Alligator mississippiensis: one gene and its partners. The protein of the gene in region 1 interacts with the protein of each later gene in a biochemical or structural test. Links are inferred from orthologs where the notes say so. Each region holds a gene or a part of one and is shown in the gene's direction. Other genes may lie near its edges. The genes, in order: SNTA1, potassium voltage-gated channel subfamily A member 5, GUCY1A2 and WWTR1.

Region 1 (7,442 bases):
TTCCTTGGAGGCATCTGCAATTGCACAAAGTACAAGATAAAAAGGGTCTGAAATATGGTATTCTTGGTAATCCTGCATGGAAAGGGAATACCATAAATGAACAAATAGGTACTTTCAATTTCTGATTGCTGTCACTCAACTATCTCAAGCAAATCCATCCCAGGAAACAAAATATATTCCATATTTGAGAACCCATCTCAAGCCAATCAACTGAAGTGTAAATCTCTGCAATGGCCTAGGAGAAAAAAATTACCTTTGTTTTATCCATCTCCAAAGCAGTTCCATCCAGTCTCTGAGGATGTTGCAAGCAGGCTTTGAAAATATCCGCCCCAGAGAAAAACAGTAGCAGAAGAAAGCCCTGATCCTGCCATTGGCTCCTGTCTTTGAAAATCTGTCACTGGAATGCAGCCTGGTGTGCACAGTAACCGTGCTGTACCAGCAGCACTACGCAAGGTTGTTTTCTTGATATAGGGATATCAGGAATAAGCTTTCCATGCACATTTTTCTCTGTAAACAAAACATAACTGGGAATACCAGAATGTTGTAAGCTTCTGTTTGTGCATTTTAAAAGCATCTTATGTTCTGTCACATAATTTATAGCGAGGGCACCAAACTCCCTTTGGTCCTCTCTCCCCCCTGGCCAGATTCAGACCCACCTCTGGTGGTGGGGTGAGTGGCCATGGCATTAACCATTGTGGGTTTCTGTGCCTCATGGTTTAATACACTCATTGCTCACCCCTCTGCTGCCAACACATGTCCTGACAGGCCTCCATACGCTCAAATCAGTGGTGGGACCCTGCGCTAGAACTCCCATCCCCTCCAGGTGCCCAGAAAGCCCAATAATAAAGTTCCACAGACCAGCCCTGGCCCAGAGACTGTATCTTTCACGTTACTGGTGTACAGGTTCATTGATTTTAAGGGTGCAAAGGATGGTTATAATTATCTACTCTGATGTCTGCATAATGGGGAACAGAGATCTTCACTCTAATGTTCCAGTAACTCATGGTCCTTCCACTGGGGGCTGTTGATCTTTAGGTCCCTGCACCGTCTCAGGCCTCCTGGAGCTGTCAGCCTTGAGTTGGGGTCCCTTTCCTCTGGGCCCTGTGCCCGGCACCCAGGGAACTTCTATGGAAGCCGAGCCCTCACTGGCTTCAGTTCCTGGCCTCATGCCAGGGGTCTTTCCCCTTTCCAGGCCCTGGTCTGGGCACTGGGGCTCTTTTAGTTTAATGCTGAACCACACTGAGGGGCTCCGGTTATCAGGCCTAGACCCAGGGCTAACTTAAGCAGCCTCGAGCTGCTCCCAAGGCCGAGTCTCCACGCACCGACCTATGCACCATGTGGGGCCCGAGCAGCCTCGAGCATGCAGAGAGCTGGCCCTGGGAGCAGCTCGAGGCTGCTCGGGCCCCACATAGTGCGCAGGTTGATGCGTGGAGAGTTGGCTGAGGAGGCCGGGGTGCCCAGCTGTTTGCCGGATTTGCCTCGAGTGCCTCCCAGAGCCTGAGCACCGTGCGCTGATTCAGGCACCATTGAGACTCAGGCGGAGTCCTGATGACGGAGTCACACTGGGCTTTTATTTACATTGGAGGCCCTGCCCCGAAGTCCGCTGGACCTGCAAAGCGCAGTCTTCAATCATGTCCAGGGGCTCCTTGCCCCCCGCTTCTGAGCAGGGGTGGGGCATGCCCCTCCCAGCTGTTACCTGATTGGTGGAAATGTTCCACCAATCTGAAGTGTCCTTCTCCAAGCCTGGTTTGCTGGGCAAAAGCAGTCAGCCTGTCACACAATCATGCATCATCACCCCAACTCTGTTCTCCATTTTTTGACAGTAGCCCTAGTTCTCGTTAAGAACCATGTTCCTTCCAAAATTGACACAGAATACCAAATGCATTGAGGGATCTTCAATCTGTTTTTTTTTCTCTCAATGATCAAAGTATTCAAAACAACCATCCTTGACCTTCAATATGCAGATGACTACACCACACTTGCACACACTGAGGAAAACATCCACACCATGCTGGATCTTTTTAAAGAAGCCTACTAAACTGTGGGCCTCTCAACATTGAGAAGACTAAAGTGCTTTATCAACCAGGCCATGAAGACAACCCCCTTCCCCAAATTACAATTGAGGGAAAGACCCTGGAGGTAGTCAAGCATTTCCCCTACCTTGGCAGCCACCTTTTTCAAGGAGTGAACATTAATGAAGAGTTCCAGCACAGGATCTGATGCACAAGTGCCTTCTTTGGGAAATTGCTTTGGTGTGTCTTTATTCATCAAGATCTCTGGAAAGACACCAAGATCTAGGTCCACAATGCAGCCATGATCCTCACCTTCCTCTGCAGATGTGAAATGTGGGTGATCTATGATCATCTCAAGAGCCTATAGAGGTATCATCAGCAATACCTCCAGAAAATCCTCCACATCAAACGGGAGGATTACCACACTAATGCCAGCATCCTTGCTGAAGCGAATGGTACCAGCATTGAGTCAGTGTTCCTCAAGCATCAACTTCACTGGACCAGACATAGTGTGCGGATGCCTGACTCTCGACTCCCAAAACAAGTGCTCTATTTCCAACTTAGCAATGGCCTGAGATCCTACAGTGGCCAAAGGGAATGCTACAAGGACACACTCAAGGCATACTTCAAGAAACAGATGGCAACATCAAGAGCTGGGAGGTGCTGGCTGCCAACTGACCCCAACGGCACCACAACCTCAACCCATTTTGAAGTAAAGCATCTTGCCCTCGAAGCAGAGAAGACAGAGTAGAGGAAGGAAAAGGAGAGGAATCCTTGCCTGCAGCCCACTCTCCCCTGCAGAAAGACCTACAACTCCTGCGGATGGATCTGTTGCTCAAGAATTGGACTCTTAAATCATCTCAAGACCCATCAGTGAACCATGGTAGAGACCATCCTTGAATCAAGGGATTGCCAATGATTTTAGTAATCCTTTACTCCTGAGCCATGACTCCACATGGCTAGATATCTGTAAAAATAGAAAAAGAACCAAATTACCTTCTGTTTTACCCAGAGACACAGATGCTGTTAATCTTAAATATATTGGTTTTGTTGTTCACTGAGATGAGTGGATCCTGTTTGTTAAGGATAAAAGGAAGATTTTTGAGGTAATATTTTTCATTGAACCAACTTGTAGAGCTAGATAAGACAGCAGATTCATGTATGCTGACAACATTTGATAAGGAGTGCTCTGGCTAGCCAAGCCACCCTTTGGGATGGGTACTTGGAACCATTGGTTTAGTTTCTTCAGAATCCTGTACATTTTCATTGAACCCTTCGCAAAGATGATTGATTTAAATTATCACTGGATTTATGAAGTTTTTGTGGGTATTTTGTCCAGAGATTTCTCAAGCTCTTGCAAGATGATATCGAAGACACAAAGGACAGATACAATCACATCCTGCTTCACTTCCCAGTTAAGTGGATCACCTATATGGCAGCTCTAGGAGTCTGCTAATATTCTTGATGCTGTGTGTGTTCAAGGTGCTGTTATGTCTCCTGTAGAGCCAAGAATAATTTGCATCCAAAGAGCTGGATAAAGTTTACAGGGAAAGAGCTTTGTGACCAGCTGCTTCCTACATCTGGCTCTCCTCATGCCCCAAGGCCCATAGCACAAGATTCTGAGGACAGGTACAGGGAACCAGCCAGACCAAAGCCCCATGCAAGGATCAAAGCATTGTAGAGGCATGAATGAATTAACCCTAACACTCCACAGGGGTGGGCAAGTCTGAGGGATGCTCATCCTCATTTTAGAGGGAGAGGGGACTTGAGGCAGGTCAGACTACACGAGTAGCAGAACTCAGAAGCCTGGTTATCCAGCACCCTGCTCTAAGCATCACCTTCTGCTCTCTGCTAACCTGTTGTCTGTTTAACTAAATGTACACCAGGAGAGATCAGGTGTCTTTCCCCTCTTTATTCTCCTAAGTTAATGTTTCCCATAGTTTTGATACTGGGGGTACACATTTTTATGGAGTAAAATGGGTGGCACATATCCGCTCCCTGGACCCTGCCGAGGTGTGTGGGGCTGGTGCAGCGTGAACCTGCTGTGTAGGGCCAGCTCTGCCAGAACCCGATCCTGCGCCACGGAGCGTGGCCGTTTGGTGGCGGGAAAGCGGCGGCCAAATATCGGAGCCGCCGGGACTGGGTGACGGCTCCTCCGGCCGGACCCCGCTGACACACACTTGGTGCTGGCGTCCTGCCACAGCCTCTGGGAACCGCTGTCTCAGCTCGCGCACGTAGCCGTGCCAGGGCGGCCGGGGAAGCAGGATGAGTCCGCGGGGCCTCTTGCCCTGGCTCAGGAGCGGCCGCGGCGCCGGCTGAGGCCGCTGCCCGCGGGGCCCCGGCGGCCGCGCTCGGGCGAGGTGGGGCGGGGCTCAAGTGCTGCGGCCGCTCGCGGCGCCCGGGCCGGCTGGGGGGCGGCACCCTGGGCGGGGAGGCCTCAGGCGGCGCCGCGGTGCCCGGGGCCCAGTCGCTGCCGACCCGGGCGGGCGGGAGGCGGCGCAGCAGCCGGTCCCGGAATGCGCTGAAGATGGCGGCGGGCAGGCGGGCGCCCAAAAGCGGGCTGCTGGAGCTGCGCGTCCCGGCCGAGCAGTGGCTGCGGGTGCTGGTGACTCTAGCCGAAGACTTCCTGAGCGTGAGCCCCGCCAAGGGCGCGGCCGCCGAGGAGCCTCCGGCCCCGGCGCCGCAGGACAGCGCGGAGTCCGGCGCCGCAGTGCCCGACGCGCTGGCCAACATCAAGCGCACGGTGCGGATCGTCAAGCAGGACGTGGGCGGGCTCGGCATCAGCATCAAAGGTGCGGGCGCGGGGCGGCCCAGGGGCGCCGAGCAACTTTGGGGCCAAACTTTGCGGCGGGTGCTGGGAGCGTGCCGGGCGCGGGGCCCGCGGAGCTGCTGTGCCGGCGCCGCCGCGGGCCTGGCCCGCGGCCCCAACGCGCTGCTGCCACACGCAGCTCCTTGCGGCGCTCTCCGCCTGCCTGGGACACGCGTCTGCTCGGGCTCGCTCCGCCGGTCCCTCGAGGCGGGGCAGCTGCCCGCAGAGTTCAGCGGGGGGCGGTTACCAGTCTTTATTTCAAAAACTTGGACGCTTCTTGTCGGGGGTGGGAAGAGCAAATCACTGCGGGAGGATGCTTCTGTCTGGGAGATCCCCAGGCTGCTCCGACCCGACTTCTTGGCTTGCCTGATGCAGCCTCTTCTGAGGCTGGAGGTAGAACCCAGCTGAGCCGGTTGGCTGCTGCTCAGAAATATCAGGCAAAAAAAGTTTAAAAATAGATGCCAGGGACAACGGGTTTCAACCGTTATATTTGCAGACCCCTAAAAATGTTGAAAGGCGGTGCAGGCACCTCTGACCTGTGAATGTGGGTGGTCACATACTTTTGACTGATCATAGTCATCTTTCACAGACCCCTTAGACATAGTCTGGGCCCCCAGCCCCCTGTGGAAACCACAGTTATGCCCCATACCTGGGGCAAGCAGAGCTGAGAATTGCTTTTCTCCCAGGGCTCTGCTACTGTTTCAATTAGAGTAGGACACATCTTCAGGCACTAATTTTGTAGCTCATTGGGTCTTTTTAAAGCAGGGGAGTCCTTCAGTGTGATAATTACTGTGGACATGTGGCCCATCTACATTTGTTGCACAATTCACGGTCAATTGCGTGATACATATCACATGTAGCAGGTCCCTCCTCCCCCTCTGTTTCTCTCCCATTCTGTGCCTTTGAATTTGGAATTCAGCTGTGTTTTGCAGAAGTGTTAAGGTGTTATTTGTCCTCCCCTTTGTAACTGAACCAAAAGGCTGTTCTACCTTTTTGCAGCCTATTAGCATCCCTTCATATTAGCCAGCACCAGGCAACAGATCTTGCTCCATAACACCTTGCCCATATCAGAAGTGACGATGAAAAATCCGCAGTCCACACCACTTGTCAGATTTAACCTTCTAGGGGGACTGAATTGTAAAGGCACCTCTGTCAACCCCATCAGCACGACTTGAAAGACCTCATTTGTACAAGTTTGCTGCACTAAGACACAATGGAGAAGTTGGCACAGTGTGTTGAAGGAGCTCTGAGTAATAGACAGTGTTAACACAAAATAAACCAGGTTTTGAAGGTATAATTTTCTTGAAGCGGCAGGACGCATTTATTTATTTTATCTGTTAAAGTTTCTCAAGCAACCTGGAAAAAGTGCAGCTTTGACCTTTAGAATCAAAGATGGAGGTAATGTACCTCTCCAGGAAGTTGAGTACATTCACAGAAGATGAAAGGAAGTGATTTTAGGAAAGCTAATCTATTGCCATGCCCCTTTAAAAGCTAGGTCCTTCCTTTAAACTTACACCCAGTGTTTTTCATATTTTTATTATGAGCCAAATGCAAGAGTGAAATAGAGTCCCTCCAAACTATGAAGATTTGGGGCAGAATCGTATTTTACTTTGTGTGCCCAAGTGCCAATTTTCCACCCTTCTAATTGAGAGTTTAGCGTTGACACAGTTTGCAATCCTGTCTCTATATAGCATGAATGTGCATCCACGTGACTACTGAGCATGTTTAATGTGAAGGTATATATGTTCCAAAATTTCAGTCTGGCAAAAAGGAGGGCCCCCTTCCCATGTTTTAGTGTCAAAGCCATCAGAAACAGGAGATTTACGTTATGGACCCCCATTCCTCCCATGCAAGATGGCTTATAAACCTGGATCTTTCTGACTTCCAGGATGGCGCGCTGGGTATAGGTGAGGCATTATTCAGCCGTTCTTCTGAACCTGAGTTGCTGTACTTTGTGTTTAATATTCAATGGATAAACAGGTATTTCTGGTGCACTGGGAGAAAGGGCCCAGATTAGAATATAGGATCTGCTCCCTTGCAGAGGGCCAGACCATAAAATAAATGCATAACATATGGCCTGGTGATTAGAACATTGTGCTTTTGGGAAGTTGAAGAGGTGGAACATGATCTATATACTAGATTTTTTGCTTCCTGGGTAAGTGTGTTAGCTACCCAGGTATGGGATGTAAAGCATGAGAGAGCCCCCCTCCTCCTTTTCTGGCATCTAATAACCTGCTATTTGTGGAGTAGCAGGTGGAAAGAATTCCATGACTTGGCTTGTGCAGAGTACGTGTGTATGGAGCTGCATATCTACCCAGCCAGAGTGCAGCCTGCCACACGTGTTTAGTAACTTTATGGATGGTTGCACAGTGCATGTGGACTAACTTCACAATTTGTAAGTGGCACAAATGGCAGTTGCACAGCTGGAAAACAGCCATTTGGGTGTATAAAGTGAATTAAGTTTCTTTCTGCCCTTGGTGTTCTCAACCCACAAACTTGGTCAGTCTCCCAAGAACTGTGGCTGGCAAGGAGTGGGGAAGAGGACAGGACATTTGCACAAGCTGAATAAAGCACAGAAAGCTAGCAGCTGGCCCAAATTCTAGTGGCAAAGAATGGAGACA
Region 2 (7,912 bases), on another chromosome or scaffold:
AATTTGTACCACTTCTTTTTGCCACTGTGGACACCCCTGCCTGTGGGGGTATGGTGCAGGGCAAAATGCTCCACTTTGGGAGCTCCTTCCAGCTCCTGGTGTGCTGGAGGCACCAGGGGACAACTAAAGGAGGGGAGCAGCAGCCAGAGCATCTCCCTGGAGGACCCATCCTCTGTGTCTGCTGGCACATGCTCTTAAAGCATGCACCGTGCCACTTCTTTGCAGCAATTTTTTTGACACCGGGGTCTCCAGGTATCAAATTTTGGCACTGTGCTGCAAATTAGCAGCATAGCAAATGATTACATGTGTGCCACGTGCTGTTTGCAATGCCTCAGACAGCTTTGAGGTGCTACAAACCACATGTGCATGCTCATCTGCAGGTGCCCTTGGAGTTGGGGCTTTGTGGGCTCTCACCTTAACCTAGCACTATTTAGAGGAGATGGAGAATGGCTAGTGGAGAGCCCTCTGGTTGTCAGGCACTATCACCACAGGCATGAACGACGTGTGCCCCTGGACGCTACAGGGACACAATGAGCTCCCACAGGTGGCAGCGGCGGTGTTGGCAGCAAGGGCATGGCAGCAGGGAGCTCCCGCAGGCAGCTGCGGCGGTGTTGGCGGCGGGGCTGGTGTGGTGAGTACCTACAGGTCATCAGTGACCACCCGCGGATGCTACTGGCAGCATCAGCGGCGGCCAGCAGCGATCAGGGACTGCCAGCAGACGCCACTGGCGGTGCTGTTGGCAAGTGGGGGGGGGGAAGGGGGCGGGATGAGCATCGGCAGCACTTTTCGCATGGGGTTCACTGCCAATCTCAGGGGGTGCACATGCAGCCATGTGCACCCCCTACGCGTCGCCAATGACCATGGGGAAAATCAGAGGCATTGGTAGGAAAGGCCTGAGGCCTGGGAAGTCCTCAGATCAGGTGCTGTCTCCTCCTGCTGTCTACATTTAAGATTCTCCTGCCAAGAGAGCCCTCACCTCACAAACCAGAGGGCTGGGGATGTTGGGGTGGGAGGGGAGGGGAAGACGAAGGGGAATGTTGTAGTCTGATGCCAAGAAGAATAGGGGTTTCCCTATTAGCAGAGGAGAAGATACTGTACTTCCCCACACTGCCCCTTTACTTAACCCCTTGCTAGAATAATGAGCAGTAGCCAAAGTGGACATGCCTGCCTAAGAATCAAAGAAATCCCAATTACCATCCACCCTGCTCATCAGAGAGGACAAGTCAGACAGACACCAGCTATCCCACCTGCTACTGCTGTGAGACAGGCACAGGAGTTGTACAGGGCCACCTCTGCAGACGTGCACAGCTGGAAGCCTGACTGCTACAAGGACTGTTTGGAAAACTTTGTGGGTTTGGGTAGTAGTGGGAGTTGGTTTTTTGTTTTCATAGTTCATAGTTTCACAGTTGTGAGGGGCTGGAAGGGACCTTACAGATCACTGGGTCCAGCCCCTCCCGCATCTTTTGTTTTGGGGTTTGTTTGTTTTGGGCGGGGCAGTGGCACATGGGAACAGGACAGTGAGATTTCTGCTTCCTACATTATTTCTACTCTCCCATTCTGGGCCCTATCAGGAATAGGATTGACCCATCTTTCTGTGATACTCTCTGTCTCAGCATTCTATAAGATTTCATTAGGGATACAGTTTTGGGCCTTACTAGGTGTGTACTAATATGCAGGAGGTGTGTCTTCCTGAGTCTGCAAGCAGATGAAGTTATAGGGAGGGAGAGAATAACAACTCTTGTTCATTTCAGTAAGAGTTTGGACTCTGAGACCCCCTGAAGATGTACATGGCAATGTAGGTAATAGCTGTTAACTATTTTAGCTGAAACATCTAGCTACTCTGTGGGGTGCTTGAGTAGAATACCATTATTTCCCCTGAAGTCTCATCATCCTAAGAACCTAGGGTGGGGGCAGTGCACATCTTTGGTGAGGGTAATGACCATGTATGTGAGCAGGGGGCTGATTGGAGGCAGGGAACATCTCTTCCAGCATCCTCTCAAATTTCTCAATGCAGCAAGGACTGGCAATGGAGCTGAATGCTTTATTGAAGCATGTTGATACTTACTGAAAGCCCAGGCAGATGGCACTGGATAAAGAGAATGGCATGGGAAAGAAGCTAATGGAACAAATGTAGTGATATGGTGCCAGCATTTCAACAAGGGACTCCTGAAAAATACTCTTTTTCACTTGATAGTGCATATGACACTCCTTGGGATAAAACACTTACTGCCAACATATACATGTGGTTCATTGATTCCATGCTTTCCCCCACATAAAAGCATACCGATAGGCTGTGTTCAGGGAAAGCTGAGTACAGTTAAGCCCATATGTGTTTAGGGGAGAAGGGAATTGTGTGCGGGGAGTGCCTCTGGGGTGGAACATAAGTAGATGGTTGTTTCAGTGGTTTTGTGGATAAGTGTGGGTATGCAGTACATGTTTAAAAGGGTGGAAGTTTTGTGGCAGGTTGGCGCATAAATATGAATACCCAAAAACATTGAATATGTGTTCCTATGAAGGCATACCCCATACCATAGTGATGAGTACTGGGGGAAAGGGGAGGGGAAATTGTGGCAGTAGATGGGGTATATGCATTGCATTTGCACAGAGAGGTTTATGGGTTCATGCATTTCCAGAAGTATTATGGGCTTGCATATGTTCATGAATGAGTGAGCTTGCTTGTGTATACGTGGGTGGGTAGGTGGTATATGCAGGCTATATTATGTGTGCGCCATGAGGTTGGAGGTCACAGTGGATGAATGCAAGCATGGCTTACAAGTATTTGTGGATATGTATGTGTGACTTTGTGAAGGGGAAAGATTCTGAAGTGGGTGTGGAAATTGTAGGTAGTGATGGTTGGATACCAGACTTCTCTTCTAGAGTGAAACTATTTGCCTCATATCACCCTTTAGGGCTACCTCTGTGCTAACAAGTCGTGATGTGTGGCTCTGAACTGTATTTTAAATCCTTTGGAGGGCAGATGGTACCATTCTTGCGGATTGAAGTGCTATTCCACTAGTTTTACAGCTCTATCTCATGGACAGCTAAAGCGTAAATGCCATCCTGGGAAATAATACTACATTTGCAAGGTTGATATATTACCTGAAAAATATCGATGTTAAAAACAGTCTTGCAAACACACACATACTTTGGCTTATCTGAGTGCATAGTTGTACTGAAGTCAATGAGATTACTCGTGGAAGTAAAGTTATTCAGATTTGCACAGCTGGGTCCTGTGTTACAGCTGCATTATCTTACATGTCCCTGAGACTGTGTTTAGTCGTAGGAGGCAATTGACAGAATATGACCTGTCAGTGGAAAATAATCAGTACTAACAACCATGTATTATAAATATGTTTTTCCTATTATAGAAATCTTTAATATCTTGGGGCACATTTTGTGCATGAAGCTAATATTTTTTACATTAAGTTGAAATATTTCCTGTGAAGCTTGATATATTCCTATGGCCATAAAATAGTTTACCAAAGGGATTCAATATGAGTGTTGCTGTCATGATGAATCCTAGAGAAAGCGGGGGTAGGGAAGTTTTGCACTGCTGAAATATTTTACTCTATTTTAAAAACCCAGAAATCCACAAGAATATTTTGCTATGGATAGAATATGCATTTTGTGTAATGTGGATTATATTTTTCTTGCATGTTTATCGCATTCCTGTGTAGCTGCTGTGCAAAACTGAAGATTGCAAACAAATACCACAGCATGGGTTGCCCTCCTTACACTGTAAATGAAGAGACAATGGAGAGCAGACTCAGTTCACTTCCTCTCATAAATATACATCCATTGGTATTTTATAAAGTACTGACATACATTAAGAACGTGCAGGCATACAAAACATGAATTACCGCTCCAGTAAGTTGAATGGCGACATATAGATGTATCCTAATGGAAGCATTTGGTTTTCTGTTTTGTGTGACTCTGTAACAAACACCAGCTACCACCTTTTTTTGGAGACTAATCGCAACCTAGCTCTAAAACAGCTTTTTCTTTGTCTCCAGCGCGCTCCAAGTGGGCAACCCCTCCTCCCCCGGCAAAGCCCCACCAGGGTCCCTTGGGTGCGCTATTCCTTTCCCTGATTATTATTTTCATTATTTGTAAGTGCGGTTTTATAGCAGGAAAGACGGCGCGCAGCATTCCCTGCATAAAATCCCTTTAACAAATAATCCATGAATGGGGGCAGGCTGTGTAATCCTTTGTTTCAGCCTGTTCTGGCTGGCTGTGTGGGCGTGCGTGGGTGTGTGTGTGTGTGAGAGCCAGCACCAGGGGGTGTGTGTGTGTGTGTGCATGCATGTGTGCGTGTGCCAGAGAGTGTGTGTGAGCCAGAATGAGTGTGTGTGAGCCAGAGTGTGTGTGCGCGCCAGAGCATGTATGTGAGAGCCAGAGCAAGTGTGTGTGTGTGTGTCTGAGAGACAGAGACAGAGAAGGCTCTGCCTGCACCACAGCACGACAGTCTTAATTATATAACTTCACTTGCTCTTGTACCTCCCAAGGAGGGGAAATGGACGAGACAGGAGGACTGTCAGCAACTGTCAGTCTCCCTCTTTCTTTCCCCATCGCGCCGCAGCCCTGCCCCAAGGCAGCCGCAGGGGTTTCCCCCAGGTGTGAGGGAGGGGAAGGAGACTCTCCCAGAGGCCGGGCTGGGCTGGAAGGGGACGCCCGCCTCGGAGTGATGCCCGCTGCCCGTGCGCGGGAGGGAGCGGTGCCGGCGGAGAGCGCCGCCGGGGCGCACACTGCCATGCCGCGGGGGGCGGGGCGGGGCAGTGCGGTGCTCGCCGGGCGGGAGGATGCGGTCGCCTGGTAACCGGCGCGGAGGCTGCGGGCTGGCGGCGCGGGGGAGCCGGGATCCTCTGTGACGTCACAGCGGGGGGCTTGACGCCGCGGGCTGCTCGGCTCGCGCGGGCGGGCGGGCGCTAGGGGCCGGCCGGGCAGGGCAGCCCGGGGCCGGGCGGCCGCAGCATGCCCGCGCCCGCCTCCCGCGGCCGCCCATGGACCTGGCGCTGGTGAGCCTGGAGAACGGCGGCGCCACGGCCATCGGCGAGGATGCGGCGGGCCGCGCGGGGCGGCGGGGCGAGCTGCTGCTGCTGCACGGCCCCAGCCCCGCCGCCCCGGCGCGCCTCAGCCTGAGCGAGGGCAGCGCCAAGCCTCCGCCGCCGCCGCCGCCCGCCGCCCGCAGCCGCAGCGGCAGCGGCAGCGTGCTCCGGGCGTCCGCTCCGCGGGCCATGGAGGAAGGCGGGCACCGGCTGGGCATGGCCATGGCAGCGGCGGCGGCGGAGGAGGAGGAGGAGGAGGGCGGCGGCGGCGGCGGGGCCGGCTTGCAGCAGCGGGTGCTGATCAACATCTCGGGGCTGCGCTTCGAGACGCAGCTGGGCACCCTGAGCCAGTTCCCGGACACGCTGCTGGGCGACCCGGCCAAGCGCATGCGGTACTTCGACCCGCTGCGCAACGAGTACTTCTTCGACCGCAACCGGCCCAGCTTCGACGGCATCCTCTACTTCTACCAGTCGGGCGGCAAGCTGCGCCGGCCCGTCAATGTCTCCATCGACGTCTTCGCCGACGAGATCCGCTTCTACCAGCTGGGCCAGGAGGCCATGGAGCGCTTCCGCGAGGACGAGGGCTTCATCCAGGAGGAGGAGAAGCCCCTGCCCCGCAACGAGTTCCAGCGCCAGGTCTGGCTCATCTTTGAGTACCCCGAGAGCTCCAGCTCGGCGCGGGGCATCGCCATTGTCTCCGTGCTGGTCATCCTCATCTCCATCATCACCTTCTGCCTGGAAACCCTGCCGGAGTTCCGTGACGAGCGGGAGCTGCAGGTGCCCCTGCCCCCGGCCACCAACGGTACCCCGGGCCGCGAGCCCGCGCCTGCCGCACAGCCCCCCAGCGGCCTCTCAGACCCCTTCTTCATCGTCGAGACAACATGCGTGATCTGGTTCACCTTCGAGCTGCTGGTGCGCTTCTTCGCCTGCCCCAGCAAGCCCGAGTTCTCCAGGAACATCATGAACATCATCGACATCGTGGCCATTATCCCCTACTTCATCACTCTGGGCACCGAGCTGGCCCAAGAGCAGCCACAGCCCGGGACTCCTGCCACCAGCAACGGGGGCCAGCAGCAAGCCATGTCGCTGGCCATCCTCCGTGTCATCCGCCTGGTCCGGGTCTTCCGGATCTTCAAGCTCTCCCGGCACTCCAAGGGGCTGCAGATTCTGGGGCAGACGCTGAAAGCCAGCATGAGGGAGCTGGGGCTCCTCATCTTCTTCCTCTTCATCGGAGTCATCCTCTTCTCCAGCGCCGTGTACTTTGCTGAGGCCGATGACCCCGACTCCCACTTCTCCAGCATCCCCGATGCGTTTTGGTGGGCAGTGGTGACCATGACCACAGTGGGCTATGGGGACATGAGGCCCGTCACCGTCGGGGGCAAGATTGTGGGCTCCTTGTGCGCCATCGCTGGCGTGCTGACCATAGCCCTGCCTGTGCCCGTCATCGTGTCCAACTTCAACTACTTCTACCACCGGGAGACTGACCAAGAAGAACAGAGCATCCTCAAAGACGAGGCCAGCGGTGCCCAGGGTAGCTCGGCCGAGGGGGAGCTGAAAAGATCCAGCAGTAAAGACTCTCTGAGCAAATCTGTTGTGCACTTGGAAAACTGTGAAGGGATCAACAATGGCACCGGCTCCTTGGAGAAAGCCAATATCAAAGCTAAGAGCAACGTAGATCTCAGAAAATCGTTGTATGCGCTCTGCCTGGACACCAGTAGGGAAACAGACCTGTGAGAAAAGGCACTGAGTCGGGGTTCAGAGAGACAGCAGGGTTTGCTGGTATTGGAAACATTTATGATGTTGTTGTTGTTGGTGTTGTAATTATAATTTTGGTACCGCTTAGTACATTAAGTTTGACTATATTTTATAATTGACCACTGGTCTAAACAGACCTCCAAGAATACATGTTTTTATGTTCTTTTTCCATGACACAAAGGGTCACCTATTTTTAAAATAGACTAAGAATAAGTTACTCTCCATGATGCAGGAGCTGGTAAATTATTACAGTGCAAATGTAATTGGTAGACACTTATTTTAGCAAACAGTGACTTTAAATGGGTCGCATAACCAATTCACTTGCTCAAAGTTTAGTATTAAAGGGTTGGAAAGGTGTGCTTGTGTGTGGAGGGTGAATGGATTTTTCTTTTTGGTACTGTAGTTTCAAACTGAAATTATCTTGATATATTTTGTATCTGTATAACTGTATTTATGGGTGAAAGGAGATTATTTTTTCATGTGAAACATGACTTCATTAAAGCACTAGAAATGTTAGCTATGATACACTATCAGATTTCTCCTTGTGATCAGTTCAGATCTGGTTATCTAGTTTGTGAAGTGAATTTGGTGCTTTTACCCCTACAACAGAAAACTTTGCTGTTGATAAGATGTTAGTTTCTTGTGAGCCTTAATTTATTAAATATTATAGATATGTTTCTTTATAAATGCTTTTATTAATAATCTCACTGTTTCACAATTTTGAATAATTCAGTCCTGTGCTTTCTATCCCAGAAAAAAATATGCAGCTTATTTATTTTTTTGTAGTTTTCTACCATTGGTGCATTTGCAGGATTTTTTAAATATAGGATTTTGTTTACTGTTACTATTTTTGATCCAAGTGCACAACAGATCAAAAACATTAAGGGGTGGGTGGTAATAACTTGAAAGCTACTTACTGGTGCAGTATCTGCAAAAGTTTTTTGTTTTTGTTTTTTATTTTATTTACACTCCAAATTCCTTTAAACACATGTATCAGTCACACTGCAGATCTGTGCTGCTTTTGTAGACGGTTCACTGTTTTTAATTATTACATTTTGGAAATGGATGGCACATAAAGAATCTGACATCACATGGCTTATAGCTTGGACTGA
Region 3 (6,901 bases), on another chromosome or scaffold:
GCAACAATTAAAGAACATTTTCCAAATATTTGTAAAATTGCCTGTAGCATACATGTGAATTGCATTATGTTGTTCTGACAATGTAAAGTTCTTGCTGGCATTCTTTTTTTCCAGCAAGAACTACACATAGGTAGTAAACAGCTACATAGTGGGTGCACCTCCATGTGTGCTTTATTGCGGAGTTGACTAATTAGCTCCACAGTAAGGCATCACAGTCTACGTGTGCATTGGTATTAAAGTGCAGTAAACTCATTAAATCTACTGTAGGATAATACTGTTGAGGGCAGTACTATGTTATGGCAGAGAAATAAAGGGTGCTGAAACACAGATGTAGCTGGTGACTGGACAAGTGCCAGACTCCTCCCTACCCCCCAGCCACATGACTCTGCAGGTTTTGCACCCTCATGCCCCAGCCAGCCGCTCTGGTGCCGCCACCCAGAGCCCGGGGCTGATCCCCCCAAGCCTGCTGCCAGCCCAGGCCAGCTCTGCCCCAGCTCAGAGTGCTGTTGTCCCAGGCAAATGTGTAGATGCCCGTGAGCAGTTCACTCTGGCTCATAGTGCTCTGGAATTTATCATGTTTCATTAATTGCATGTGTAGATGCACCCAGTTCGTCAGTAATGTGGAAACCCCAACACATTCCAATAAGACTTTTATAGCAGATCAGCTTATATTCTCTATGTACTGTAGTTATTGCTTGCATGTTGTATCATTGTCAAGAAAATCATTCAACTCGCAGATGTAGCTTGTCCCTGTAAACTTATAGCTGGGTCAACTTAAGTCAGATGAATGTAATTGAGTAACCTCACCTAACAGGCTCCAGAACTCAAGGAAGTCCTAGTCTTTCTAGTATTTTTGTTTTCCTCATATAAAACCACCTTTTGGTGATGATTGGTACTTTTCCAGAAGGTCCCTCTGTTTTGTTCAGTTTATTAATTTTTAGCCATTGTGAACATCAAATAGAATTTATCATGCCCTAGACAGACCACTGATATGTGTCCTACTGGAACAAACAGGTATTGGGCCTACTAACATGCATTCAATCTTTGTTCTTTGCAAAACTAACAGGTGATGTTGCAACACCAATTTTTGGCTAGCAGTTAGGTTTTCTCAGTGTGCTGTATCAGCTGGAACAATAGCAGCCTTGAGGTCCTAATTGCATTTTTTTATACTGAATGAACTTCAGTTGGCACATTATCTAAACAGTCAAGGAAACCATGTTTTACATTTTTTGTAAATGAATGATTTCTGTGCATGAGTAAATCCAGTTATAGTTGTAGTGACCTCAAGGACTGGAGTTTAAAATGAAAGATTTCCTTTTCCATTTTAATTGAACTCAATGTCATATAAAAATGTTACAAGGCCATGGATTTTTTTTTTAATATAGCAAGGAGTTTGCAAGGATCCAGAGAAAGTTTGATAATATTTGTTAGAAAATGGTAGTTTAGACTTTATTGTACGAAGAAAAAGAAATAGCCATTGAAAATTGTTGAAAGGATTGTGTGTTCTCTTACCATTTGGTTTAAAAGTGAGTTTCCAATGCTGAAAAAAAAAAATGTAAATACTCTGACCAGCAAGACACTTACTTTAAGTCCTACAAACAAACTGTGTGTATGATATGGAAACAAATGACTTGTATATACTATTTTCTTATTCAGCAATAATGGCTTTATAATCCACAAATAAGTTTCCACTACAGAGCTGAATCTTGTAGTCCTTATTCAGTCGTAATTCCCACTGAAGTCCATGTGAAGTCAGTGGGAGTGTGCTACACTAAGACTGCAGAATAAAAAAGAAAATGGAAAGCTGCAAGGCAAACCTTAGGAAGCAATCACAAAAAGAGCCCTCTGAACACAGCATGTTCCCACCTTTGATTTACTTCTTAAACACAGAATATACTGTTCATCCCTCTCAGAAGTGCTTGTTCAGGAGACCCAGCAATATTGGATCCTGTGATTGAAAGTTGTCAGGATTTTGGAAGATTTTATAATTGAGTGCTGTTGACATTGGTATAAGTGACTTAGTCCATTTTTTATCAGGGTAAAAGAAAGAACATCTATCCTTCCTCTAATTTTTAGGATGCAGAGAAATAGCTTTTGTGATTCAGTGAAGAAATTAACCTTACCATGTGCAGCAAGTGAAGGACATGGAGTCTCAGAGGAGCTACAGTGCTAAACTAAACTTTTCAGGCCTTTCTGTTCTAGATTAGCTGAAGGAATAATGAAGACTGTGCAATGAAATTCTGTTTCTACCCTAAAAATCATGCTTCTTAAAACATGTCAGTGCAAGTGTTTTAGTTCTTCCTAGCTCTGGTGTATAAGCTTTGGTCAGAAAAGTCCAAAGAAGCACAAGAATTGAGGTGGCAGGGGATCAACTTCCTTGTTTTAATGGAGAAAAATATTTCATATACATTTTTATAGGTTTTTAAAATTAAACTTGTTAGGCCAGGGGCATCCAGGTGATGGAATTGAAAAGAATGAATGGAGTTGCTTTATTATCTCCCCTTTTTAGGGATTCTAATTAAAGGCAGGAATATTTATACCCCTTTTCCCATCCACCTTTTTCCCCCATGCAGACACCTGGACTCCCTGTGTTATAGTGTGTGGTGTATTCGATACGACACAAACATCCACTGAAGTAAAAAAAAAAAGAGTCTACATTTGTTTCCAATGGGTTTTGGATCAGGCTGCATTCAGAAGTTTAACATTTATTGGTAAGAAGAGGGTGTGAAACATATACCAAAACATCACTGCATAAGCATAAAAATCGAGACCTTAAACCCACCCTACCCTCAAAATTAGCCTAAGAAGACCCAATCTGTCTTGTTGATAGCACAAAGTAATAACATTCACATCACGTTTGCTTGGGGCCTTTCTGCCTGGATAGACTACAAGCAATTGTTAAGCAGTTCATGGCAAAAATGTCTACTTTTTAAAAGCAAATGCGTGGCTTGAAGTGTTGAGGGGGTGGGGGGGATGAAGATTTAGGTGGCTTATCTTTCATTGTCTTCAAAAATGTCATCCTTCCTCAAAGCTCTGGTTAGCTTGCTTTCTTTGTCTTTTGTTGTTGTTGTTCTTTTGTAATAAGCTGTATTTGAACAGTGATGCGTGGCCTGCATTTTATCCTTGCTGTTTCTTTCTTGGATGCAGTACGCAGTCATAAAAAAGCAGGACTTGAGTGAAACCCTGAACTGAGACGTTGCCATCAAATATGACACGATCACAGCTTTTTTTGTGTGTTTATGAAGATCTCCCTTTCTCGGCTTTGGGAGTGAGCATCCAAAAAAGGGTGCAGGGGCAGTTGCTGCCAAACTCCTCTTGATTGTGGAGCGTGGAGCTTACAGGAGTTCATTTTGGTGAGAAACTCTTTACACAGGGCAGGATCTTCTAGGTGTCCATGTGGAAGACCTGTTCTGTGGATGGGGCATGTTTCATCTGCGAGAAAGTGACCTGGATGCCTTTCTGTTGTTAAGCTCTACAGGGAGAGCAGTAGCAGACACAACCTGCAGCCCTGCTACTCAGCTGCTGCTGCTGCGGCTGTGTAGACTTGTTGAGCTGGGTGTAGCAGGCATGGAGCTGTCCAGCACTGTTTCAGACAAGAAAATAAAATAAAGCCAAGCGTTTCTATTACAGGCAAAAGTAGAAACTGGCCTAGTTGGGGCCTGGGGAGGGGGAGGTCTTAATCAGCCCAACTGGAGGGAAGGAGGCGGGGTGGGGGTGCATTGGAGCAGGTGCCCGCAGCCTTTCTCCTGTGCCAAGGGGCGCGGGGCGGCGCGGGGCAGGCGCGGGTGCGGGGCGGGGGGAGCGGCACGTGATGCGGGGGGGGGGGCGGAGCGGGGAGGAGGCGGCGGCGGCAGAGCCGCGCAGGGGCGCCGGCATCTGCTTTAAAGCCTCCCGGGCAGCGGGCGCCGCGCAGGGCCATGAGCCGCTGCAGCGGCAGCAGGAGCAGGAGCAGCGCCCCGGGCCCGCGCGTGTGAGCCCGGCCGGCCGGCCGCGATGTCCCGCCGCAAGATCTCGTCCGAGTCGTTCAGCTCGCTGGGCTCGGACGGGCTGGAGACGAGCCCGGAGGACGAGGGCGAGTGCCCGCTGGCCCGCCTGTGCTGGAACGGCAGCCGCAGCCCGCCCGCGCCGCCCGCCGCCCGCCGCGCCCCGCGCCGCCGCCGCCTCAACCTCGACTCGCTGGGCGAGAGCATCAGCCGGCTCACGGCGCCCGCGGTGAGTGCCCGCCCGGCCCCAACTCCGCCCGGGACAAGCGCATCTCCGCCGCGCCGCCCTCCCTCTCCTGCCGCTTGGCCTTATCTTGCATTTCCCGTCTTAATTTGAAGCCGCTTCAACTAGGAGCAACCAAGTGCTGAGACCCCCGCCTGAGGGTGGGGGGGGGGGGGATAAAAATAGGAGCCCCTGCTGCCGCCTCCTCATTCCTCCTCTGCCCGCGGTGGCACGGGCTGGAGCGAGGCTCCTTCGGTCTCTGTGAGAAGCGCTTGAATGGACGCGTCTGGCCCTGAGCCTTCCTGAATTGCTGGGCACCCATTCCCAAATCCGTGCAAAAAAGGGCTCCTATGGGGCTTTTAAAGGATAGTTTGTTTTTTTTATTTAAAAAAAAAAGAGTAATAATTATAAAGCAGGTGGTGCTTAACTAGTGAATATGATTTTTTTAAATAAAACATTTATATATCCCCCTACATTTTTATTGTGTCTGCCTGACACTCCCATCTTTCCTCAAAGAGGAGACGTGAACTACTTTTCCCTGTCAGATTCCCCCCCCCCCCCCCCCCATTAGACACAGGGAAAAGTTGTTGAGTTTTCCCACTGTAAAATAGCCAGAGTTATAGGTCTGCACCTGTTCTACCACTCCGCTTGGAGATGTTAGTCCTTTAAAAATGCTCTTTGAAATCAACGGTGTATGAGTACTTGAGTCGGCATGTCGGATACTGAGGATTCGTGAATTGCTGAACAGTGTGTGTTACATACAACAATGTCCTTTTCAAAGACGGTGAAATTATTGCCCCAGGCAAGTCTGGATTAGGTTGTTTTGTGCACAGTAGAGGAATTATACTTACTTTACCACAAAACTGTTGAGCTCCCATAAATACATATATCATGATGAGAACATTTCACTGGGGTTCCAGTTGCAGATGAATGTGTTTTTGGCTCTAAGAGGCAGAGATTGTTTTGGCAGGTGAAGGTATTGATTTTGAGTTGCAACAGGTAGCATGTTAATATGTAACCTGGTTTGTATCTGCTGAATGATAAGGCAGTCACTACGCCTTTCTATATCCTATTATTCACCTTTGAATTAAACAAACATATCTGGTTAATCTCCAGTCCATGTGCAATCAAGGCATTGGTGTGCGAAGCATTTAACATGCTCTTTGTTCAGGATGACTTGGACTAAGTAGACAGCGGTAAACCAGTTGTTTTTAATAAGGAAAATGAATAATGCATCACAGCTGTATGATTTCACTAAGCAGTTTTCCCTCTCCAGGAGGAATGTGATTCTGCAATGCTGAATTTAATAGAAGACCTCTCAGGTGACCTGTCTTATATTATTATAAAATAAGTAAGTTATTTGATACCGTAGTAATACAGGTGCTATAATTAGAGCAATATATCCAATATAGTTAAACCATTCTGAAGTAGCTCAGTACAGTATTTTTAGATATTTAGCATTATTATTGTTGATAACCTCAGCATTTGTATTTTCACAGCTTTGACTGCTACCTTCTGTAGTGGGATGCTGTAAAAGGCAGCTTTAGAGGTTAATTTTAGTTAATCACTGCATCATTTGAAGACTAAACAAACAGAACCTAGAGGTAGAGAAACACTGCTGGATCATCTTATCCACCTTCCTGTCAGAGGCAGTTTTGGAGAGAGGTAGGTAGTTATGTTAGTCTGAAGTCAGGCAGAAGGCATAGTAGATTTACACCTCAGACTAACTAAATCATATAGTATAAGCTTTCACGGGCGCAAGATCATTTCATCACCCCTACTACCATCCCCAAGTTTAGTCATTCAAAAATGATTTGGGGAGTGTTGTCCAATCTGGCTTTTTGTTCCAAGCAACAGGGGTCCCACTGGTTTCCTTGGGAGAGAATTGCAATAATTCTTACTGTTTTGAAGTATTTTTCTTTTTTATATGCGTTGCCTAAAAGTCCCTATATTAATTGCATCTTGGCATTCTACCACTAGAGCTTGATTCTGATCTTACTCTGTTCTAAGTGAAGAAATGCAGCTGTAGGCATTAAATCACACTGGCACAAACCTGCTATGAGAGAGAGGAGAATGAGGCTTACTATCTAGTCTTGATATTGTATGAGTAGTAATTATTCCAAGTCATTATTTTGGTGCGTACTACTTATTGAAACTGTTCAGTGGTACTAACAAAACAGCTACAGTTGTGGGTAAGCACAGTAGAGTAGCCTTCTTGCAGACAGTCAAGTTATCATATCATATTTAATATGGCTTTTTTCTCACATCCACTAAAGTAAATCTGGAGTAATTACTTTGACTATAATAAAGTTATGTGGATATAAAATTAGTATAAGAGGAGGTTTGTGACCCTTATTTAATTTTGAAAGTCAAAGCCCAAGTAACACGCTCATAAAGACTGAGGAAGATGCTCCCAGAAGGAATGTAGCAGCAACACATGAACACGCAGTGTTAGATGCTTTCAGAGTTGAAAGATGCATTAGGGTTTTCAGGTTTATGTACAGCTGTAACCTTCTGCTCTGCACTTTTAATACAGAGATGGCTCAGTTTCATGTTCGGAGTAGTATCATTTTCCAGTTTTCATGGATGGAGAATAATAGTATTTGTGAGTAATACTGTTATGGCATGCAGAGGGCTCCCTGTTGTGATATTATTTCAATCTGGATGTAGCATTAGCTATAGAGAGTCGATCTGT
Region 4 (7,304 bases), on another chromosome or scaffold:
GCGGTGCAGGGGGGAAAACTTGTTTGAGTTGCAGTTACAGACAGAAAAGAAGAGAAGTGGACAAGAGTTCCTTCCACGCGAACCTCTAGCCCAATCCGGTTGAAGGCTCTAAACACGCGAGCCCGTCGTGTCAACCGAAGAAAACAACTCGGAGAAAGAGCTCCGGATACACTCACATGAAGTTTTCTAGGCTCCGTGGAACTTGCGCGCAGGGAAGGGGTTCGTCGAGGGATCGTTCGGTGACGGGGAGAGGCCAGAGATTGATCAGACCCCTATAGCCTTCTCAAGGTATACGCTGGGTCCAATAGGCTCCGCAGCGCTTGGAGATCTTCACGAGATGTGAAGTTCTCCTCCTCCAGATGGTTGTGGAGTCCTCCCTTGCGGAGTTCTCCAACTTGGGCGGAAACCACTCAAGCCTCTTATACAGCTAGCAAGCCAATCACTAGCCGCCACGTGGGAATAATTTAGAACTGGCCAATAGTGGGACACAAATTTGCATGCGGGTGGCAGGAACTCCTTTGCACCGTGCATTTCTCTTTGCAACTAAGAAATGCACCCTGCAAAGAAAGCTCCGAGCGGTGGGAAATAATTTAGCAGTGCCGAAGTGCGCACACACAAAATCACACCCTTGGGTTGTGACACCTCCCACCAGTGTAGGAGCACTAGAGCAGTGTTTCTCAACCCATGGGTTGTGACCCAAAAGTGGGTTGTAAGAATATATGAAAGGGTAGCAAACAAACTTTAAAAATGGATTCTTCTTTAAAGGAGAAAAACTTAGGAAACCATGGCTTTTCTCTTGCAGGCTGGCAGAGTTCTACATTTTTAAAGTTTGTTTGCAACCCTTTCATATATTCTTGTGACCCACAAGTTGAGAAAAGCTGCTATACAGTGGGCGATATCCTCCCTTTCCTTCCCCCGTAATTTACTAAAGTGTGATTTACTCAATAGCACATTAGGAAGAAACACTAGCCACTTGATAATTTATGTGGTAGCTTTGAACCCAAAGACTGCAAAGACTCTGTATAGTAAATATAGCCTAGAATATAAAAATAACTTATTTTGGAATAGAATCCATATAAGGAGTTATTCCAGAATAATTGAGAGTGAATTTCCCCACACAGACAACCGGGATTGTTTTACATGATTGGTAAAGCAGGTTAGGGTGGGAAATAGCAGACTACAAGGGACCCACCTTGTATTGTGAAACAAACCAAAGGCTGAATGTCTTTAATTACCTGAGAAATACTCTAATCGGTTAATAATGTACCTCTTAAAAGCTATAGAAACAAACTTGAGCCTTAACCAGTTTGTTTTTACAAACACTGCCGAAGACATTGGCCTACATATTTACTGGGAAGTGAGTTTTTTAGAAAAACAAATCAAGTTTAACACTTTTAATCAGTGTGTCATATCATTAGGGACTATCTCAAGTACCAATATAAAATGCTTCCTTGGTTTGACTGGCTACACAAGACCTGTTAAAATGTAAAACCACATGCCTGTATTTACGTGAATCCGTTTCCTAAATCAAGTTAAAAATGAAATGAAGTGACTTTAAACAGGGCTCCCTCCCCCTCAGACATGATAGCAGGTAAACATTTTCTAGTTAAGGTTGTGGGTCCCTTAAATATATAGCACATACTAATGGATATGGCATAAGTGCAAACAGGAGGATGAAGTTTTCTTTGACCCTTTGTTCATAATTTAACAGTTACTTAATTACCCAGGATACAAGAGGCCCTTCAAAGAAATCCTGAACATTTTCTTCTACAGATTACACTTGGATCTTCACTTATGAAGGCTTTCCAACAAAGATCCTTTTTATTTACATGAAACATAACCATAAAGTATTGGTGGACTTAGTCAAAAAACACATGCAAAAAATTGGGATGACTTTCCTGTAAAGCAGGGGTGTCAAACTTGCATTTGAAAGTATCCCTAGTACCTGGATTACTCACTGGAATTTGGATGTTTCTTTTGACCACCTGCAATGACTATACTTAAGCGTTGTTATGCAGATCCTTCACAGGAGTGAGCTATTTAGTTACTGCACCATTAACATCTGTTCATACTGCAGAATATTATAGAAAATAATGGTATTTTCTTAGTGCTGAAGTAATCTTCAGAAAACTCACTGACATGCAGTGCAAGAGGATTTATGTTCTTGTAGTTTAGAACACAGAGATAAGAATGAAAAGCATCCTGGCTCCTATTCATTACTCTGCTTCTAAATTGCTAAATCCAGTGCTCAGCTCACTTTAGTCAATTACCTTCTATTGACTTCAGTGGGCACTGAATTAGCTCCTCTAAGAGCCTGTTTCTGTGCTTCAGATTACTTCTCTGTAAAATGGGGGGGGGAAGATGCTACGGACCTTAATTCAATGTAAACTTCTAAATTATTTGGATCAGTGACTGAAGCTGCTATAAATCACAGAATGGAACTACAAGACATGATTATTCAGTGATAATTCTAAACAAGGAAGAAGTACTTATGATATTGTTTACAAATTGTAGCATAAATTCTGATTATACTCACTTGTGCAGTGGCATCTTGTTCTGCAAATGGTCTACAGATCTAAGTGAAACAAGATGTTATGCCATGGGGAAGTCAATATCAGAGTCTGGCCTTACTGGCATTTAGTCTAAAGAAGAATGCAGCTTGTGAACAGGTGTGCTTGCACTGAGAAGAGAACGTAATGAACCTGTGTGAACACAGCATCATCAAGATGAATAAAGAAATGCATATAAAAAATCTTCTATTACTTGAAATTCTTAAGCAAGGATATTTCAGGAAAAAAAAACATGCTGGCTGTCTTGAATAACTTTGGAACATATGCTACAACTAGCACAGCTGTCTGAGCTAGTGAAAATAAAAGTCACCCAGTAAGGAAGCAGTGGAAGAGATGGGGAGGAAAATTCCCAATGAACGGAAGCATAAAAAAACTCTTTTAGGAGTACTGAGTTTCCGGGTTAAAAATCTAACAACTGTAGCATGGAGGAATACAAGGGATATAAAATATGCCAAGCTAGTGGAAATACAAGCAGGAAATGTAAGAAAGGAAACTGTTGAAGCACAGAATGGGGGAGTTGGCCTACACAAGGTAAAGTGATGCCTATCTCCAGGGATCTGTGTCCAAAGATGCTATTTGAAATAAAAGTGTTTGGATTGCTAATCTGAAGACTTGCTTTACTATTGTTATACGTAAAACTAGTTCAGGGGCAGGGTTGAATGGGACTTGCACAAAGGCTAGTAAGAAGAGATCTAAGTTGAAGCAGCCAAAGGTAGTGCATAGCAGCCCAACGTACATATAAAGGCAAGTGGAATATGCATGGCATATTCAGGAAAATAGCTTGTTTAATGAGAGCTAGCACAGATTCTGATGAATGAGGGAAAGGTATTCTGCATTCAGCAGAGCCTGAAAACCGCTGGGACTCGAAGGAAAGCTGAACAGGCTGGTGGAAATGTGTAACAAAATCCATCACAAGCATGAGAGTGGTGTGCCTGGGTAATGAATGATACAGAAAAAATGGTTATGTCTACACCTGTACAGATTGAAAGCAGAAGAGAGAACAGGATAATCCTCCTGCTATGGAAAACCTAATATCCAAAGTCACAGGTGAACTGTGCTTTCCTTTTTACATAAAGATTTTGCCCAGTTTGGGGCTTTTTTGACAACTTTGATGCGACAATTAAAAAAGTGTTGCAAGTACCCCAAAAGTCTTCCACGGGAAAAGGAGCTTCTGCCATGCCCGATGGGAGTGGAAGTGTATGTGAATGACCTTTCGGCACAGGGGAAGTCTGCAGAACAAGTTCCCCTGGCTCGGAGCCGCAGAGACCGCACAGCCGCTGCACAGATTGACCGTGGCTTGAGCGCCGGGGTCGGGGCTCTCCCGCGCGCAGAGAGCCTGCGCTCACTGCCCGCCCCCGCCTCCCGGCCCGTGCCGGCGAGGGGCTGCAGCAGCGACTTGTAACAGCGGAGCCCAGGGCGCCGCCCGCCCTGCCACAGGGCTCGTCCTTCACCGCTCAGGCTGCGGCGGAGGCCGGTGCCCGGCCGCCCCTGCTCCTTCGGCTCCCGGGCCAGTCGCAAGGGGCCAGGACAAGCCTGGAGCTCCGGTTACAAGCATGCACCGCCCCGCTCCCCTGGGGCCGGGGCTGCCAGAGCCCGGCAAGCGCACGGCTCTTCCTCCTCTCGCTACCAAATATGGTCACAGCGGGGTGCTCGGGCTCGGGCTCGGCTCCGGCCAAGGGCTCGTTCCGCCACTGGCCCGTGCGCCCCTGCCCCGGCGGTGGCGGGGCCTGGGAGGCGCAGGGGCGCCGGCGGCTCCCAGCGGGCAGGACAGGCCGGGGCTCGGGGCAGGCAGGGGCGGGCCCTGGGCACCAGCTCCTGAATAATGCAGCGGCGCCGCGCCCCGGCCCGCCCCGGCCCGCCCCCGCGGGGCTCAGAGTTTTCCGCAAACTTTGTGCGGGACAGTCCCGGCGGCGGCGGCGGCGACCCGAGAGCGCAGCGCGGCGCAGCGCAGTCCCGCGGCCCGGCCCCGCCGCTGCCGGCTCGGGACAGGCGAAGCCCCGGGACGAGCGGAGCTGGCCAGGCCCCGCCGCGGCCGCAGCTCGATCCCCGGCCCGGCCGTGAGCGCCGAGCCGCCGCCCCGGCCCGCGCCGCCTGAGCTTCGGGGCAAGTTGCGGGAGTCCCGGCGGGCCCCGCCGCCGCCGCCACCCGCCCGCGCCCGTCGGGGCCGAAGATGAACGGGGCGGGCGCGCCGCCGCCGCCTGGCCAGCAGGTGATCCACGTCACGCAGGACCTGGACACGGAGCTCGAGGCGCTCTTCAACTCGGTGCTGAACCCCAAGCCCAGCTCGTGGCGGAAGAAGATCCTTCCCGAGTCCTTCTTCAAGGAGCCCGACTCGGGCTCGCACTCCCGCCAGTCCAGCACCGACTCGGGCAGCCACCCGGCCCGCCTGGGCGCCGCCGCCGCCGCCGGGGCGCAGCACGTCCGCTCGCACTCCTCGCCCGCCTCGCTGCTGGGCGCCGCCGCAGCCGCCGCCGCCGCCCCGGGCTCGGCGCAGCAGCACGCGCACCTCCGCCAGCGCTCCTACGACGTGACCGACGAGCTGCCGCTGCCGCCCGGCTGGGAGATGGCGCTCACGCACACCGGGCAGCGCTACTTCCTCAAGTGAGTGCCTGGCCCGGCCCCGTGGGGTGGCTGCATGTGGCTGGAGGGGGGCCCTGGAGCCGGCTGGCGAGGGGAGGGGCTGCCTGTGACCTGGCCCTGGCTTTGGGTTGAGCTTCTTGGTGAGCCAGCGCTCTTGGCCGTGAAGAGCAGGTAGCCTGCCCTGCCAGGGCTAGCACCGCTGCCCTCCAGCCAGGCTGCCTCAGACCGCAGCTCCCGTCTAGAAATCGGGGTAGGTGGGATTCATTGAGATCATCGAGGGACCCGTGAGCACCCCCACCCCTGTTTTTCTGTTGTCAGGGTCATTGGTGTGACCTGAGGTTAAGTACAAACTGCTAAAGAGCTTCACCAGGACTAGAAGGGATGCCTGTTGTTGCTCCTGGGGGCTCAGTGAGCATATGCCTTGTTGCAGGGTGTGAAATGGGCCCAAAGCACTCCTAGAGACCAAATACAGGTTTCTCTTGATTTATGCAGGTTCTTTATATGCAAATTTGCTCTTATGTGATGAACATATTTAGACCCATAATTTGTTGTATACAGGGTAAATTCCTTCTTATGTGATCAGCATAGATACCCCCCCCCAAGCAGGTAAGTCTATGGGGGGAGGGGAAAGGGCTATGGCCCCACTCACCCCAGTCCTGCCTAGAGCAGCTGGTTCCAGCTGCCTGTAGCCACTGGGCTGTACCTCTGCCTGTCCCCCCCACGCCTGGGCTAACCCCAGCTCCTGGGCTGCACAGTGCTGTGTTGCAGGCAGCTGGTGTCGGCTGCTCTCAGGGCTACACCAGCACGGACTGGGGTGTGTGTGGACAGGTGGAGCCCCAGGCAACATGGGGTACAACACTCACCCCAGCTCTGGTTGCAGCAGCCCAGGAGCTATTTGTTACATTGTAAAGTGGGTATGCTTTATACGAATTTGATTTATGCACTGGTCTCTGGGAATGCACGTGTAGCATAAATGGAGGGAAACCTGTAGTTGTTGGAGAGGTGAAGTTTGCCTTTCCCATTGTTTCCCTTATAATGAATGTCAGCATTTCTGTTAAATAACTGAGAAGGAAAGTAGCAAAAAAGGGCATTCAGAGTTAATGGGTTTTGGTATCATTGCCAGGGCTTCACAGGTTGTAATTATACGTCTCCCTCTTTTATAGCACTTCTTATCTTTTGACCTCAGAGTACTTATAAAGGTTGTATACATCATTATTCCCAGAATACAGATGAGAAAAGCAAGGTACAGACAGTTGAAGGGACTTGCCCAAGGTTACCCACCGAGCTGGTAATAGAATCTAGGGGTATTTGCAGATGGACTCGTTTTGGTGAGGTAAAAGGGACTAGGAATTTACCCACATGTTAGTTGATCCACAGTAGCTACCCATGTGTATGCCATTAACCTGTGAAAGATGAAAGCTAAGCCATGGTAACTTAGACATCAGTGGAAGCGCTTTTCATTCAGGGCAGTTGAATGAATATTCTCTCATTTTCCATGGGGCAAGAGCATGCATATGGACAGTTCCCATAGAGCAGCTGTCATGGTAAATCCCTGCCCCTTCTTGCTTTGCTACAGCAAGCTTATCTGTCCATGCCTTAACACCACTCAGTCCTAGGCCAATACTCTATCAGCTTAGCAAAGCAGCCTCTGTAAATAATAATACCAAGCCCTAATAGAACACTTTTTATCAGTAGCTTTTAAAGTGCCTTGCAAAGTAAGCAAGCATGATTGTCCCCATTTTAAAGATGGCGAAACTGAGGCAGCAGGGTGATGTGACTTAACCAACATCACACAGTAGGCTAGTCACAGAGCTAGGAGTACCACCTCAGTCTCTTGTGTTTTAAGTCAGATACTCTATATCAGTTAGGCCAAGTCGCTGTACATTTCTTTCCATCTGTGAACTGAAAAGCTCTTCTATTAAAACAGTTTTTGCCAGCATTTGGTATGCCAGACACACTATTTCCATATTAAAATTGGTGGTACACTTAACTTTCGGTGGCCTGCAGGCCAGATCTGGTCCATGGGCCCAATCCTGCATGTGGGTCCTTATCCAGCTGCTAGGAGCCATGTGGGTGAAACCTCATTCTGCGAAGGCAGACTGGCCAGGTTAGGGCCCAATCCAACCCAATTTTTACAGCATCCTTCTGCCACTC

What was found.
Region 2: the proteins of SNTA1 (region 1) and potassium voltage-gated channel subfamily A member 5 interact in a test that uses a peptide from one of them, tested with the Homo sapiens proteins (2 studies listed by BioGRID and IntAct). The link is inferred for Alligator mississippiensis from reciprocal best matches to the Homo sapiens genes SNTA1 and KCNA5.
Region 3: the proteins of SNTA1 (region 1) and GUCY1A2 interact in a test that uses a peptide from one of them, tested with the Homo sapiens proteins (3 studies listed by BioGRID and IntAct, with this or other methods). The link is inferred for Alligator mississippiensis from reciprocal best matches to the Homo sapiens genes SNTA1 and GUCY1A2.
Region 4: the proteins of SNTA1 (region 1) and WWTR1 interact in a test that uses a peptide from one of them, tested with the Homo sapiens proteins (2 studies listed by IntAct, with this or other methods). The link is inferred for Alligator mississippiensis from reciprocal best matches to the Homo sapiens genes SNTA1 and WWTR1.

Annotation. Positions count from the first base shown.
Region 1 is NC_081832.1:27,973,444-27,980,885, forward strand, and holds the start of SNTA1 (alpha-1-syntrophin), read left to right. Parts: upstream 1-4,438; 5' UTR 4,439-4,539; coding exon 4,540-4,804; intron 4,805-7,442. UniProt on the Homo sapiens protein: Adapter protein that binds to and probably organizes the subcellular localization of a variety of membrane proteins. May link various receptors to the actin cytoskeleton and the extracellular matrix via the dystrophin glycoprotein complex.
Region 2 is NC_081827.1:141,490,573-141,498,484, reverse strand, and holds potassium voltage-gated channel subfamily A member 5, read left to right. Parts: upstream 1-4,898; 5' UTR 4,899-5,000; coding exon 5,001-6,779; 3' UTR 6,780-7,504; downstream 7,505-7,912. UniProt on the Homo sapiens protein: Voltage-gated potassium channel that mediates transmembrane potassium transport in excitable membranes. Forms tetrameric potassium-selective channels through which potassium ions pass in accordance with their electrochemical gradient.
Region 3 is NC_081824.1:437,938,506-437,945,406, forward strand, and holds the start of GUCY1A2 (guanylate cyclase soluble subunit alpha-2), read left to right. Parts: upstream 1-3,880; 5' UTR 3,881-3,993; coding exon 3,994-4,212; intron 4,213-6,901. UniProt on the Homo sapiens protein: Has guanylyl cyclase on binding to the beta-1 subunit. Isoform 2 acts as a negative regulator of guanylyl cyclase activity as it forms non-functional heterodimers with the beta subunits.
Region 4 is NC_081830.1:61,395,941-61,403,244, reverse strand, and holds the start of WWTR1 (WW domain-containing transcription regulator protein 1), read left to right. Parts: upstream 1-4,287; 5' UTR 4,288-4,740; coding exon 4,741-5,171; intron 5,172-7,304. UniProt on the Homo sapiens protein: Transcriptional coactivator which acts as a downstream regulatory target in the Hippo signaling pathway that plays a pivotal role in organ size control and tumor suppression by restricting proliferation and promoting apoptosis.